Linked DNA regions of Notamacropus eugenii. The protein of the gene in region 1 purifies or fractionates together with the protein of each later gene. This does not show direct contact. Links are inferred from orthologs where the notes say so. Each region holds a gene or a part of one and is shown in the gene's direction. Other genes may lie near its edges. The genes, in order: WDR59, CASTOR1 and SESN2.

Region 1 (3,743 bases):
GGAATACTTATCTCCATCCCTTCCCTTTGTACAGTATCCAAAGGAAAGAAAATCAGTTTGAAATGTGCTCCCTCTCACAAATCATGAGAAGCAAGCATAGCAAGTTCTTCTAAATGGAATTATATTTGAGAGAGAGAGAGAGAGAAAGAGAGAGAGAGAGAGAGAGAGGGAAAGAGAAGGAGAGAGAGGGAGAGAGGGAAAGAGAAGGAGAGAGAGGAAGAGAGAGAGAGAGAGAGAGAGAGGGAAAGAGAAGGAGAGAGAGGGAGAGAGGGAAAGAGAAGGAGAGAGAGGGAGAGAGAGAAAAAGAGAGAGAGAGAGAGAGAGAGAGGGAGAGAGAGGGAGAGAGAGAGAAAGAGAGAGAGAGAGAGAGAGAGAGAGAGAGAGAGAGAGAGAGAGAGAGAAAGTCTGACCACTAAAGGCTTGAAAGCAGGAGCTTTTCATCACGTTCGATAGTGTTTTCTGGATGCTGTCTGGCAGATTTTTAGGACGTTGGGGATGTAGTTTACAAGAATGCTTGGGGAACTGTCTTCTGCATAAAAGGAGAAATCTACATGGGTGGGAATGGTTGGAGGGAGGGCATAATTAGCCCCAGAGCCTGGGACTGTCATCTGTCTTTCCATTCATCCTTATGCCTACCTGTCCATTCATATTTCTAACATCTATCTTTTTATCTCTCAATCCATTCAACCCTCCGCCCGTCCATCCATCCATGAGTCTTTGTATCTGTCTGTTCTTCCATCTGTCCGTCTGTTCATCCATCTTTGTATCTATCCTTGAACAGGGTTTTTTTAGGAGATCGAGAAGAAGGAACCTGAGCTGGTTCCTTGCCCATCTTTTGCCCCGCCCACGGTTTCTACTCCTCTGGGCCGTGGACTACAATTCCCGACAGAGCCTGGGGCAAAACGGAGTGGGGCGGGGTTCCAGCTCCTGAGGGCCCAGGAGGTTTCGCCTCCGTATTACGTCACGTCACCTGGAAGCGATAAGAGCCCAAGCTGGGTCAGGGAGGGGAGGGGAGGTTAAGGAGAGGGGCTGGTTGTGTTTGTCAGGGCGCGTGCACGCTAGACCACGAGGGATGGGGGTGGAGCCAACGCTGAGGGAACAACCAATGACTGTCCGAGAAGCGATATGGGTGGGGCGTCGAAGGGGTGGTCTGAGGTGAAGGGTGCGTCCTCCTGCGTGCCGAAACCCTGGCGCGCGGGGCCGAGGGGAGGAGCGTGGCGGCAGCGGTGGCGGCCGTGGGGTGGCGGCGGCGGCTAGGCTGGAGATGGCGGCGCGGTGGAGCAGCGAGAATGTGGTGGTGGAGTTTAGGGATTCCCAGGTGCGCGGCGGGGGTGGGGTGGGCTGAAGGGGGCCGTCTGAGCATGCGCCCCGTGCCTCCCTGCCTCCCCTCCTCCCCGGTGCGGTGTGTCGGGTGGCGCGATGGGCCGGGAGTGGCGAGGGCCGGCCGGGCCCGAGGGAGGAGAGGGGAGGGAGGGACCGGGATCCGGCCGCGGAGGCTTTCGGCGATCCTCCGTGAAGAGCCGCCCCGGGTGGGCGGAGGCCTGTGGGGCCGGCCGAGCCGAGGCTGGGCAGCCAGCTTGTCTCGGCCCATCCCCCCCTGGAGGAGAGGCCTGCTGTCACCCCGCCTTACCGAGGGGGACCCGAGGCCAGTGCCGCGCCCACCGCCGCTCAGCTGACCAGTGCCCCGGCAGGACGCACGCCCACCTCGCTGGGTGACCCGCTCCCTCCCCCTCCTCCCCCAGCCCCAGAGTTCGTCAGGGGGATTTGTTTCCGGGGAGCAGCATCCTGGACCCCAGAGTCGGGCTCATTAAGCATCTTTCAGTCGACCGGTGCCTTTTCTACCTAAAACAGGAGTCCTCCGAGCGAGGGCTGCCTGGCCTCTGCCTAACGTCATCTCTCGTGGTCATCGTCGATGAAGAGAGCGCCCCCCCCATTCTTGTACAGATGAGGAAACTGAGGCCCGGAGAGGCATCCCAGAGGCAGAGGGTGTCAGAACCTCTGTTATCACCCGGTTAAAGCAGTAACCTGTGCTAGATGCTGGGGATGCATACACCGACCTCCCCCTCCCCCCCAAAAAAGCACACCAAAAAACCAGCCCAGGCCATTTCCCTGAGAAGCTTATGTTCTCTTGGGGGAGACAGCCGGTGTAGGTGAGATACGTAATGTAGACAAAATAACGTCCAGTCTTGTCAGGTGTTGGAAGCACTGGCAACTGCAGAGATAGCAGAGAGGGGCGTGCTTTGGAAAGGCACAGAAACTGTGCCTTGCCTGAGGAAGAGCCAAAAGGACGAAAGTAGACCTCATAGTAACAGCCAGCATGTTCAGGTTTCCAAAGAACTTTTACAGACATCTCATTTGAACCCTCAGAATAGCCTTGGCAGGTGTTATCCCCTTTTCACAGATTAGGAAACCGAGGCAGACACATGTAAAGTTAGTTGTTCAGAGTCACACAGGCAGTAAAGGAAATGTAAAATACACCTGGATAGATAAGTTGGAATCAGGTAGTGTGGGTGTTAGTTACAGAAGGGTTTAAACTTGATCCTAGATGTAAGGTGGTGCAGTGAGTACAGTGCTGGCCCTGGAGTGAGGAAGACTTATCTTCCTGAGTTCACATCCAGCCTCAGACCCTTACTAGCTGTGTGATGCTGGGCAAGTCACTTAATTCTGTTTGCCTCAGTTTCCTCATCTGTAAAATAAGTTGGGGAAGAAAATGGCAAATCACTCCAGTATCTTTGCCTGGAAAACTCCAAAGTGGGTCATGGAGAGTCAGTCAGACACAACTTAACAACAGCAGAGGCGGTAGAGATTCTCTGGAGCTTCTTGACCAGGGTAGTGACATTGGTGCTAGGGACAAAAATGCAGAATTGGTATTCAGCTCTCCAAATGGTCTTTCTGAATGGTAGGTCTGACCATGTCACTTCTCTACTCAGTAAACTCCACAGATTTCCCAATACCTCCAGCATCAGAATTCTCTGTTTGGAGAGTCTAGAGTCCTTTGTAAGTAGTAGCCCCTCCTACCTTTCTAGTCTTCTTAAACCTTACACTCCCTCTTAATTCTAGTGTTCTCTCTGTTGATTGTTTCCAGTTTTCCTTGTATGTAGCTTGTTTGTACGTAGTTATTTGCAAGTTGCTTCCTTCCCACCCCCATTAGACTGTGAACTCCTTGACAGTAGGGACCATCATTTACCTTTCTTTGTATCCCCAACCCTTAGCACATAGTAGGCCCTTAATAAATGTGTATTGACTGACTGACAGTCCCTGCCCTTAAGGGATTGTCATTTTAAAAAAATTTTATAACTTGTTTTTATCATAAGAAAATTAAAAAGGTGAGAAAACAAGCAGTTTAGCAAAACTAAGCAACAAATCACCTGAGTCTGATGCAATATTCTACATTCATAGTCCCCCACAGGAGGGCAGGGGTTGTGTTGTAGACCCTTTGGCAGTCTGAGGAAGTCTATCGACCACTTTTCAGAATGTTTTAAAAAACAATTGCATTGAAATACGGTTACCATAATATTTAAAAAATCTTCATGGATCCCAGGTTCAGAACCCCAGATGTACATCTGGGAGTCTCAGGGGTGTGAGTTGGAGCCATTAGGAACTAAATTTTCTCCATCTTTCCAGGAGCAAGAGGAAATTCTTTTCTATGTTGAGCCTTCTGAAACTACAGTTGATTGATAAGATCATGGATTTAAGCTGTAGGGGACTTGTAGGCCAAGCCTTCATTTTGCAGATGAGAACCT
Region 2 (3,743 bases), on another chromosome or scaffold:
TTGGCTGTGAAAGGAGGGAGGAGAGATTGGAAGCTGATAGCTTGAGGGAGTGGAGCTGTCAAGTGGAAAGTTCTGAAGCTGAGAGGACTGTGGAGAATTTGTTGATGGCTGAGAGGGAGGAGCCTGGAGAGGGTGGGGCTTGAATGGGGCACTCTCGAGGGGGCCGGGTGGGTCCTTCAGAGGGGAAGATGGGATCAGATAAAATCCCTGAGGAGAATGAAGGAGGGCTGGGGTAGAAAAGAAGGAAGATCTTATTTTGTACAAAGAGGAGGCCCTCTGCTGAGTGGGGGTGGGCAGGAGGAGAAGCCCTGGCATCCTGGGAGGCTGAAGGAGGTTTTGAACAGTCAATTAAAGACGAATAGAGAGATCAGATGCCAGCAGAGGGAGCCTAATGGGGATTAGATAACATAAATTTGATCCTTGGCCTGGGAGTCAAGAATTTTTCCTTGGTTCTATCACGTTTAGGCTCTGGGTCTGACGGAAGGGATCTGGGAGGTGGCTGGGCAAGAGGGAGATTCTTGGGGGAAGGAGGGTGGGTTTGGTCTTTATGACCCTGTGTGTGAAGAGCAGAATTCAATACTCCTTGCCTGCCCTTGGACCAATGGGAAGACCCTGGAATGCCTTCCCCTTTTCTAACCGAGAAATAGGAGAACTCTTGTCCTTGAAGGCGAAACCCATCTGCCATCTCTGGCCCATCTTCAAACACATACTGGTATATATTCCATTTTTCTCCCCCAAACTGCCTTCTTTATGGTTTTTCCTCTGGATTTTACTTTACGGATGGTATTCATCCATTTCACTTAGAATCCGCTGTGGACTGAGCTCTGGGAAGGTGGGGAAAACGTACCGATTACCGACAGTAAAAGGTGGGAGAGGGGGATCAGCACTGGAAAGAGCCCCTGGGGACCTGGATGCAGCTCTTGGGAAGCACTTTGGGGTCTTTGGCCCTTCTCCCATTCTGAGCCCCTAAAATGAGGACGTTGGGCCTGTGACCTCTGTATTTGGGTGGGAGGGAGGTTTCACACTCAGACGAGGGGGTGGGTCGGCGTGCTCCACCAGGAATCTAGTGCCCTGTGGCCCCAAGTCCGCCCCTGCCCTTATTGGAGAGGGGGAGGGTCCGTCGAACCGAGTAAGTTGGGAGAGCGGAGCTGGGGGTCTGTTCTGGGCCTGTTCTCTGCCCCCCTTCCCCAGCCACACCGTCTGGAGGCTGGATCACCCCACCTGGGTGTGGCCTGGACCACCCTGCCCAGACCGATCCTCGCGGAGCCCTTCCACTCCGAGGCAGCCTCCTAGGGTTCCTGGACGTGGCTTTGCGTGGCCCCCGGGACGCGCGTGGGGCCCGCCTCCTCACCCCGGTACTTCCACCCCTTCCAGATGGGCCAGCCGGGGGGGCGTGGCCCCGAGGCTTTGGCTAGGGTATTGGCTGAACCCCAGCGTTACGAGGCCCGGGGCGTGGCCTAGGGAGTTTCGAGGGGGCGTGACGGGGGCGGGCACTCCGGGGGCGGGGCCGAGCGGAGCCGGAGCTGGGGCAGCCTCTGGCGGAGGAGGGCCCGGGGCCTGGCGCTGGCTGGGCGGCTGAGGGGCCCGGCAGCAGCAGCCGCAGCAGCAGCAGCAGCAGCCGCAGCAGCAGCAGCCGCAGCCGCAGCCGCAGCCGCAGCCGCAGCGGCCCCCTCCCAGCTCCCAGCCCCCGGCCTCCCGGGCCCCCGATGGAGCTGCACATCCTGGAGCACCGGGTCCGGGTGCTGAGCATCGCGCGCCCCGGACTCTGGCTCTACACGCACCCGCTTGTCAAGCTGCTCTTCCTGCGCCAGCGGAGCCGGTAAGGCTGAGGCCAGAGGAGGGGGCCCCTCCCCCAGCTCGGGCTCTGGGTGGGTCTGGGGGTAAGGCTGGGGACCACCTCGCTCCCTCTCGCCTTCCAGCCCCACTATCGCCTTCGATTCCCGAGCCACCTCGGCAGGCCCTTATTATCCCCACTGTACAGAAGGGGCCACTGAGATGCGGAGAGACTGTAGTGACTTGTCCAGAGACGCCCCGAAGCCGCCCCTCCCCACCCCCCAGCTTGCTTGGACTTGTCCTTGTTCTTAGACTCGCTGTATTAACGGGGGCGGGGCGGGGGGAGGTGTTGAACGTCACTGCCTTCATGGTGGCTCTTCCAGCCCACTTGGGGCATTCTGTGAAGTCTGAGTTCAGGCACCACCTGGGCTGCATGGTAGCGGGCTGACCTTCCTTGGGCCTCACTTTGCTCTCCGGTAAAATGAGGGAGTGGGCCGCTGTGAGCTGTTCTAATCTCTAAGGGGCCTCTCAGCTCCAGCATTCTTTGGGTCAGTGGGTCAGAGGGATGAGTACCAGCAGGGGTCACCCTCGCCAGCTCTTGGGAAATTGCTTGGGAAGTGGTTCCTTCCCCTGCACTAGTAGCCAAAGGACTGGCTTGTATGCCTCCTTCCCCAGGATGGGGATTCTGGGGTGAGCTTAGGGAACAGCCGGTATCCCCTGTACCCATCATTCCCCTTCACCCTCTCCTCATGGGCAAGGGTTTCCAGAGGACCCAATCGGTTCTGCTTGACTGGAGCCTGGGCAGAGTCCACTCACTTTCTTTGAGTCTGGCCCTTCCTTTGCCATTCCTCCCTCCCCTCTGCCTCTGGACTTTGGGATCCAGGGGGGATGAGGGAGTGCCTTGCCTTGGCTCATGGAGTGGTCCCTTTTCCTTAGGTGCAAGTTTTTCAGCCTGACAGAAACCCCTGAAGATTACACCCTAATGCTGGATGAAGAAGGATACCAAGGTACTGGGTTCCAGTTTCTCCTCCTGGTCTCCTGAGGCCCTCTCCCCCAGACTCTTCCAAGGGGCACCCCTTGGCTGGCCTGTGTGGGCCAGGCACACACTGTCATCAGAATGCTTAAGACAGGTGGACCGGGGCTGGGGCAGGAGAGAAGGGTGGATGCAGCAGGGCCCAGTAAAATGGATCTGAGCAGCACCTGGGTCCCTGCCCCAGCTATCCCAGAATGGACTGGAAGTACCCTGGAGAGGGGGTGAGCCACAGTGTCCAGGACGTTCTGGGGCAGCCTTGTGGTACCTGTTCCCTTTGGATCTCAGTTCTGCTGTGGCTTTGTGATACTGGCTAAGTCACTTTCCTTTCCCAAGATTGCAGTTTCCTTTTTAGTAAAATATTAATAATAGCACACAGCTATGGGGAGCTTTAAGAGAGCGCAAAGCACTTTACCCACCAGACTCCATGTCCTGTGCCCCCTTGGGGCACGTTGGCACTGGAAGGTTCTGATAATTGCTGTTTTCAGAGGTCCCCCACATCCACCTCTGCTCCCTCCACTCCAGGGTGACATCTTGCAATCAATCCAGTATCAGCTGAGGGCCTGGGAGGTCTGGGGGGTAAATGGGAACCAGCAGGTGATGGAGACAGATGAAATGCAAGATTTTCCAAGTCTGGACCCAACACGTGGGCTAGATGTGGTGTAGATGAGCCTGATCCCTCCACTGGAAGCTGCCTGCCTTCCCCCCCCTTTCTATTTCCTGTTGTGACCTCAGAGACAGGGCCTAGGGCCTAGTGCTTGGGGGTGCTGCTTGCCCTGTGCCTTCTGCCTGGCTTAACTTCCCCACAAGGGGCCCATCCAGGAGCAGGCCCTAGGTGCCCAGGCTCTCAGTCCCAGGCACTGACCACAAATGAAGTCAGGAGAAGAATGACAAGATCTAGAGTGAAGAGAACTTCCAAAGGCATCCGGTGCAAACCTTT
Region 3 (3,743 bases), on another chromosome or scaffold:
GTCCATAGCATGGAGGTGCTAGGAGCAGCTTGAGAAGTAAGGACCCCCAAACTGAAATGGGAGGTGTCAGTAACCTAGTTGCTTTCCCTACTCCCCCAATGTCATCCAAGTCCCTAAAGAGAGCATTCCTGCCTAGATGCCTTCTGCCTCCATCTGTGCTAAATTTAAAGGGCTAGCTGCCATTTCATATCTCAGCTGCTGGGCTGGGGTGGTGGGTTCCTGTGAGAGTTGGGGAAAATGTAACTCAGGAATAGTATTGCATCGTTGCCCTCCCCCATCTCTATCCTTCCTTTCCTAGAGAGAGAAGGTCATGGCCAGAAGTTTAGGAGAAATGCCCCCTTTTCTGGGTGAGGAGGAAATCAAAGAGGGGAATCTATATAAGGAGAGGAAAAAGGGTCATCAACTGGTAGATGGGAAAACCAAGATAGTTCCATGTCTTGAACAAGGGAGAAGAGTTTCAAACTTGGTGCCCTGGCACTTAGAGGAATGCAGCAAATATTTATTGATTGAGTGAGTGATTAAAGGAGCAACGGGTGATTAAATACCGTTAAATATAGTGTCAGATAGTGCAGACTGGTAAAGGAGAATAAAGGAGTGGGGAAAGACTGAAACTCCAGCAAGAGAGGCTGAAATTAGGCACCCGAATGAATTTCTTAAGGAAGTTATGAAATCCTTTCTGCAGAACTTCAGATACAGGCTGGATTCTCTTTTGTCTGGTATGTTTGAAGGTGCGGGGCTGCTTGAGGGCAAAGTGAATATTCTGAAAGACCTTTTAAAACTCCCTCGGGTTCAGACCTATAATTAGCTCCAGCAATGCTCATTATAAACAGTCACCTCGAAAAGCCATCCAGGGACCCTAAATAACCTCACCAGAAATTTAAAATCTGTAGCATGAAATGGTTTGAAATTATAAACCCAGATGCCCTGCCCAGTCCCTAAAAAGTTGCAATTCATCATGCAATCATAATGACTATCTGGGACTGTCACTCTCGGTCTCTCGTTTCTCATTTACTTGTTTATGAGTAACCCTCTTGCAAAAGTTTGCAACATCCTCCAGGGTAAAACTACAACTCCCAGCTCCCCCAGCGCTTCCCCGAGCCCATTGGAAGATAGTCGAGAGAAGCTGTTGGAGGAGGAAAGGCGTCTCCGCCTCCTGCCGGACCAATGAGTAGGTGATTGGCCGAAGCCTGAGGCTTGTGTCCCCTCCCTCTCACTCCCCACCCCTCCGACCTGCGTCTGGGTAGGTCTCAGTTGCCGAGGTCGGATCCAGAGAAGCTAAAGGCAGTCGGGCTCGGGGATGTCTGTGAGCTGTGGTAGCCGAGACGTTCTTCACTCTAGAATTCTAAGACCCCCCGGGGCCACGGTAGAAGCTGGGGCGCCCCTCGGGTAGCCACGGACCGTTCCGGTGCAGGACCGTGGGTCTGCGGACAGGTGCAGAGCCCCACCTCGCCGGGAGCGCCTGCCACCCCGGGACCCGCTCGCGCGCTGTACCCCCGCGGCCGTGCCCGCGGGCCCCGCAAGGAAGGTGCGCGCTGGCTGGCACCATGATCGTGGCGGACGCGGAGAACTGCGCCGGAATCCAGGGCTACATCCCCTACACCCAGTGCGGCGGCGCAGGGACCGCGGAGGTGAGTGGCGCGGACCCCTCCCCAGCCGCGAGTCCAGCCCTTCTGGCCACGGGACAGGCTCGACGGCCGGCTCAGCCCTGGGATGGGGATCGGGGGCTGGGAATTGGGGGCAGACTGTAACCTGGCGCCGGGATTGCATCAACTGGCCGCCGCTGCCCCCCTCCTCTTCCTCCGACTTCGTTCCCGGGGGAAGAGCTCTGGACAGCTACTTAGGACGGAGTGGGGGTTGGGGGAGGAGGGGCTTCCCGAGTGGGCCCGGCTTGCCCAGTAGGCGCCGTCTTCCAGCCTGGGCATGCCTGGGCCCGTCGGAGTAGACCTTGTCCGCTTCCTTCCCGATTTTCCACTGGGGAACCCCAGGGGGTCTTGGAACCGTGCCTTCAGGGAGGTGGCGGCAGAATCCTTCGCTCTCTGGGCGGCGGCGGAGGAAACTTTCGGGGCGCTTGGCAATGCTCCCAGGTCCTGTCGCTCTGCACGACCCCGGGAGGGAAGACCTCGGACCCGGTGGGGTCGGGGGGGGGGGGATGAGCGGAAAGGAGTGAATGGGAACCCCGACCACCCGGAGAGCGAGATGCTGCCTGGACAGGGGTGGACACGCGGTTTCAGGGTCTTGATGGAGACCTAGGTCCCTACGGGCAAGAGGGGGCTGAGGAAGAGAACCTTGCAGCCCCAAACTAGTGGTCGTTCGATAAGCCCAGCCACCTGTTAGCTGGGGGATTCAGGGACCTTCTGTGACTTGGAACTAAACGCTCCTCCGACCTACCTTACTCGTCTCGTTGTCATGTGGAAAGAGCTTTGTGAGCGGGAAAACGTTGTTGAAGTGTGAGCTTCACGGGCATCCCCTCCTCCGGGAAGCCGTCCCTGACTAACCTCACCTGATTCAGATCACACCATCTCCTGACCGAATCTCCTTCCAGGACTTGGAATGTTGTTTGCATTTCGGAAAATTTGCCCAGAAACTTGGCCCGAAGTTTCAGTTCTGACTGTCTGACGGCCTGTGGGGATGGGGGAAAGATGCCCCAGATCCGTTAAGCTGGGCATTCCTCAGGTAGGGCCCGACTTCTTTATATCCAGACCAGAACTGCCTGCAGGGTCCTGGAAGGGGCCTCCGGGTTAAGCTCCTGGGTTTTACCGAGGGAAAAACTGAAGCTGTAGGAGATTAAGGGACTTCATAAGGTCGCATAGTAATAGTGGAGACTAGCTTTGAACCCCGGACCTCAGAGACCTTCCTGTTTTCCCCTGTACCATCTTAACTTCCCTAATAAGGGAGGACCCAGAATGACCTCACCGACCTCCTAGGGCTAATGTAATAGAGACTGCCCTTCCGGAGGTGAAAAAAAGAAAGCTTCAGCCTTCTCTCCCTTCCAGATAGCACTCCCCCCCCCCCCCCCCCACACACACACACACTTCCAGGTGTGTCTGGTGGTGGAAGGAGAGGGCTCTGCCGGGGAAGGAGGAAGGCCGAGCTCTCGGAGGCCATGCCCCCTCACCTGATGGAATTACTCCCCAGTGGAAAACTTTGGAATCTCGGGGTCAGCGGCGGAAGATGTCTGTGGTGACCGAGAAGTTAATGAATATTCCTACTGTCTTGAGAAAGCTGAAAGGACCGGGAAGTCCGCTCTCCTTTGGAGATCAGACTTTTTCAAGAGAGCAGCAGCTCTGGAGTCCTTCCAAAGCAACGCTCCTAGAGACCCCGAGCCCCAAATCCCCCAGCCAGTCATTTCGGGGCTTCAACCACAGAATGGATCGCTGATGCCACACCTATTATGTGCAGGGCTAAAGGACAGGGACAGACACATGATTTAGATCGCAGGTGTCAAACGTTCATGTGCAACGCTCCCCAGTGCATCTCAAACCAGATTAAAATGTAATTGGGAAATATTTAAAAAACGAATCAAAACATAAGTAATATTACGTTTAAAGCTGAGTCAGTATGTGGCCTGCAGGCGTCTTTATGTACCAATTAGTGGGCTGGGTTTCTATTTGAGGTCTACACCACTGATTTAAATAATCAAATCACCACCCTCTAGGAACTCAACGAAGCCTGTACAGGGAGACGTAATGGAGACATACTTAACTAACTCTTACAAAAGAGTGTGAACAAAGGATTAATTTGGG

Evidence for each region.
Region 2: the proteins of WDR59 (region 1) and CASTOR1 purify together in Homo sapiens (affinity purification with mass spectrometry; 3 studies listed by BioGRID and IntAct, counting the BioPlex papers as one, with this or other methods). This does not show direct contact. The link is inferred for Notamacropus eugenii from reciprocal best matches to the Homo sapiens genes WDR59 and CASTOR1.
Region 3: the proteins of WDR59 (region 1) and SESN2 purify together in Homo sapiens (affinity purification with western blotting; 4 studies listed by BioGRID and IntAct, with this or other methods). This does not show direct contact. The link is inferred for Notamacropus eugenii from reciprocal best matches to the Homo sapiens genes WDR59 and SESN2.

The regions. Positions count from the first base shown.
Region 1 is NC_092872.1:713,210,911-713,214,653, forward strand, and holds the start of WDR59 (GATOR2 complex protein WDR59), read left to right. Parts: upstream 1-1,126; 5' UTR 1,127-1,264; coding exon 1,265-1,318; intron 1,319-3,743. UniProt on the Homo sapiens protein: As a component of the GATOR2 complex, functions as an activator of the amino acid-sensing branch of the mTORC1 signaling pathway. The GATOR2 complex indirectly activates mTORC1 through the inhibition of the GATOR1 subcomplex.
Region 2 is NC_092875.1:15,132,921-15,136,663, forward strand, and holds the start of CASTOR1 (cytosolic arginine sensor for mTORC1 subunit 1), read left to right. Parts: upstream 1-1,524; 5' UTR 1,525-1,706; coding exon 1,707-1,819; intron 1,820-2,709; coding exon 2,710-2,780; intron 2,781-3,743. UniProt on the Homo sapiens protein: Functions as an intracellular arginine sensor within the amino acid-sensing branch of the TORC1 signaling pathway. As a homodimer or a heterodimer with CASTOR2, binds and inhibits the GATOR subcomplex GATOR2 and thereby mTORC1.
Region 3 is NC_092876.1:69,382,241-69,385,983, forward strand, and holds the start of SESN2 (sestrin-2), read left to right. Parts: upstream 1-1,246; 5' UTR 1,247-1,544; coding exon 1,545-1,628; intron 1,629-2,594; exon of another isoform or gene 2,595-2,628; coding exon of another isoform or gene 2,629-2,673; intron 2,674-3,743. UniProt on the Homo sapiens protein: Functions as an intracellular leucine sensor that negatively regulates the mTORC1 signaling pathway through the GATOR complex. In absence of leucine, binds the GATOR subcomplex GATOR2 and prevents mTORC1 signaling.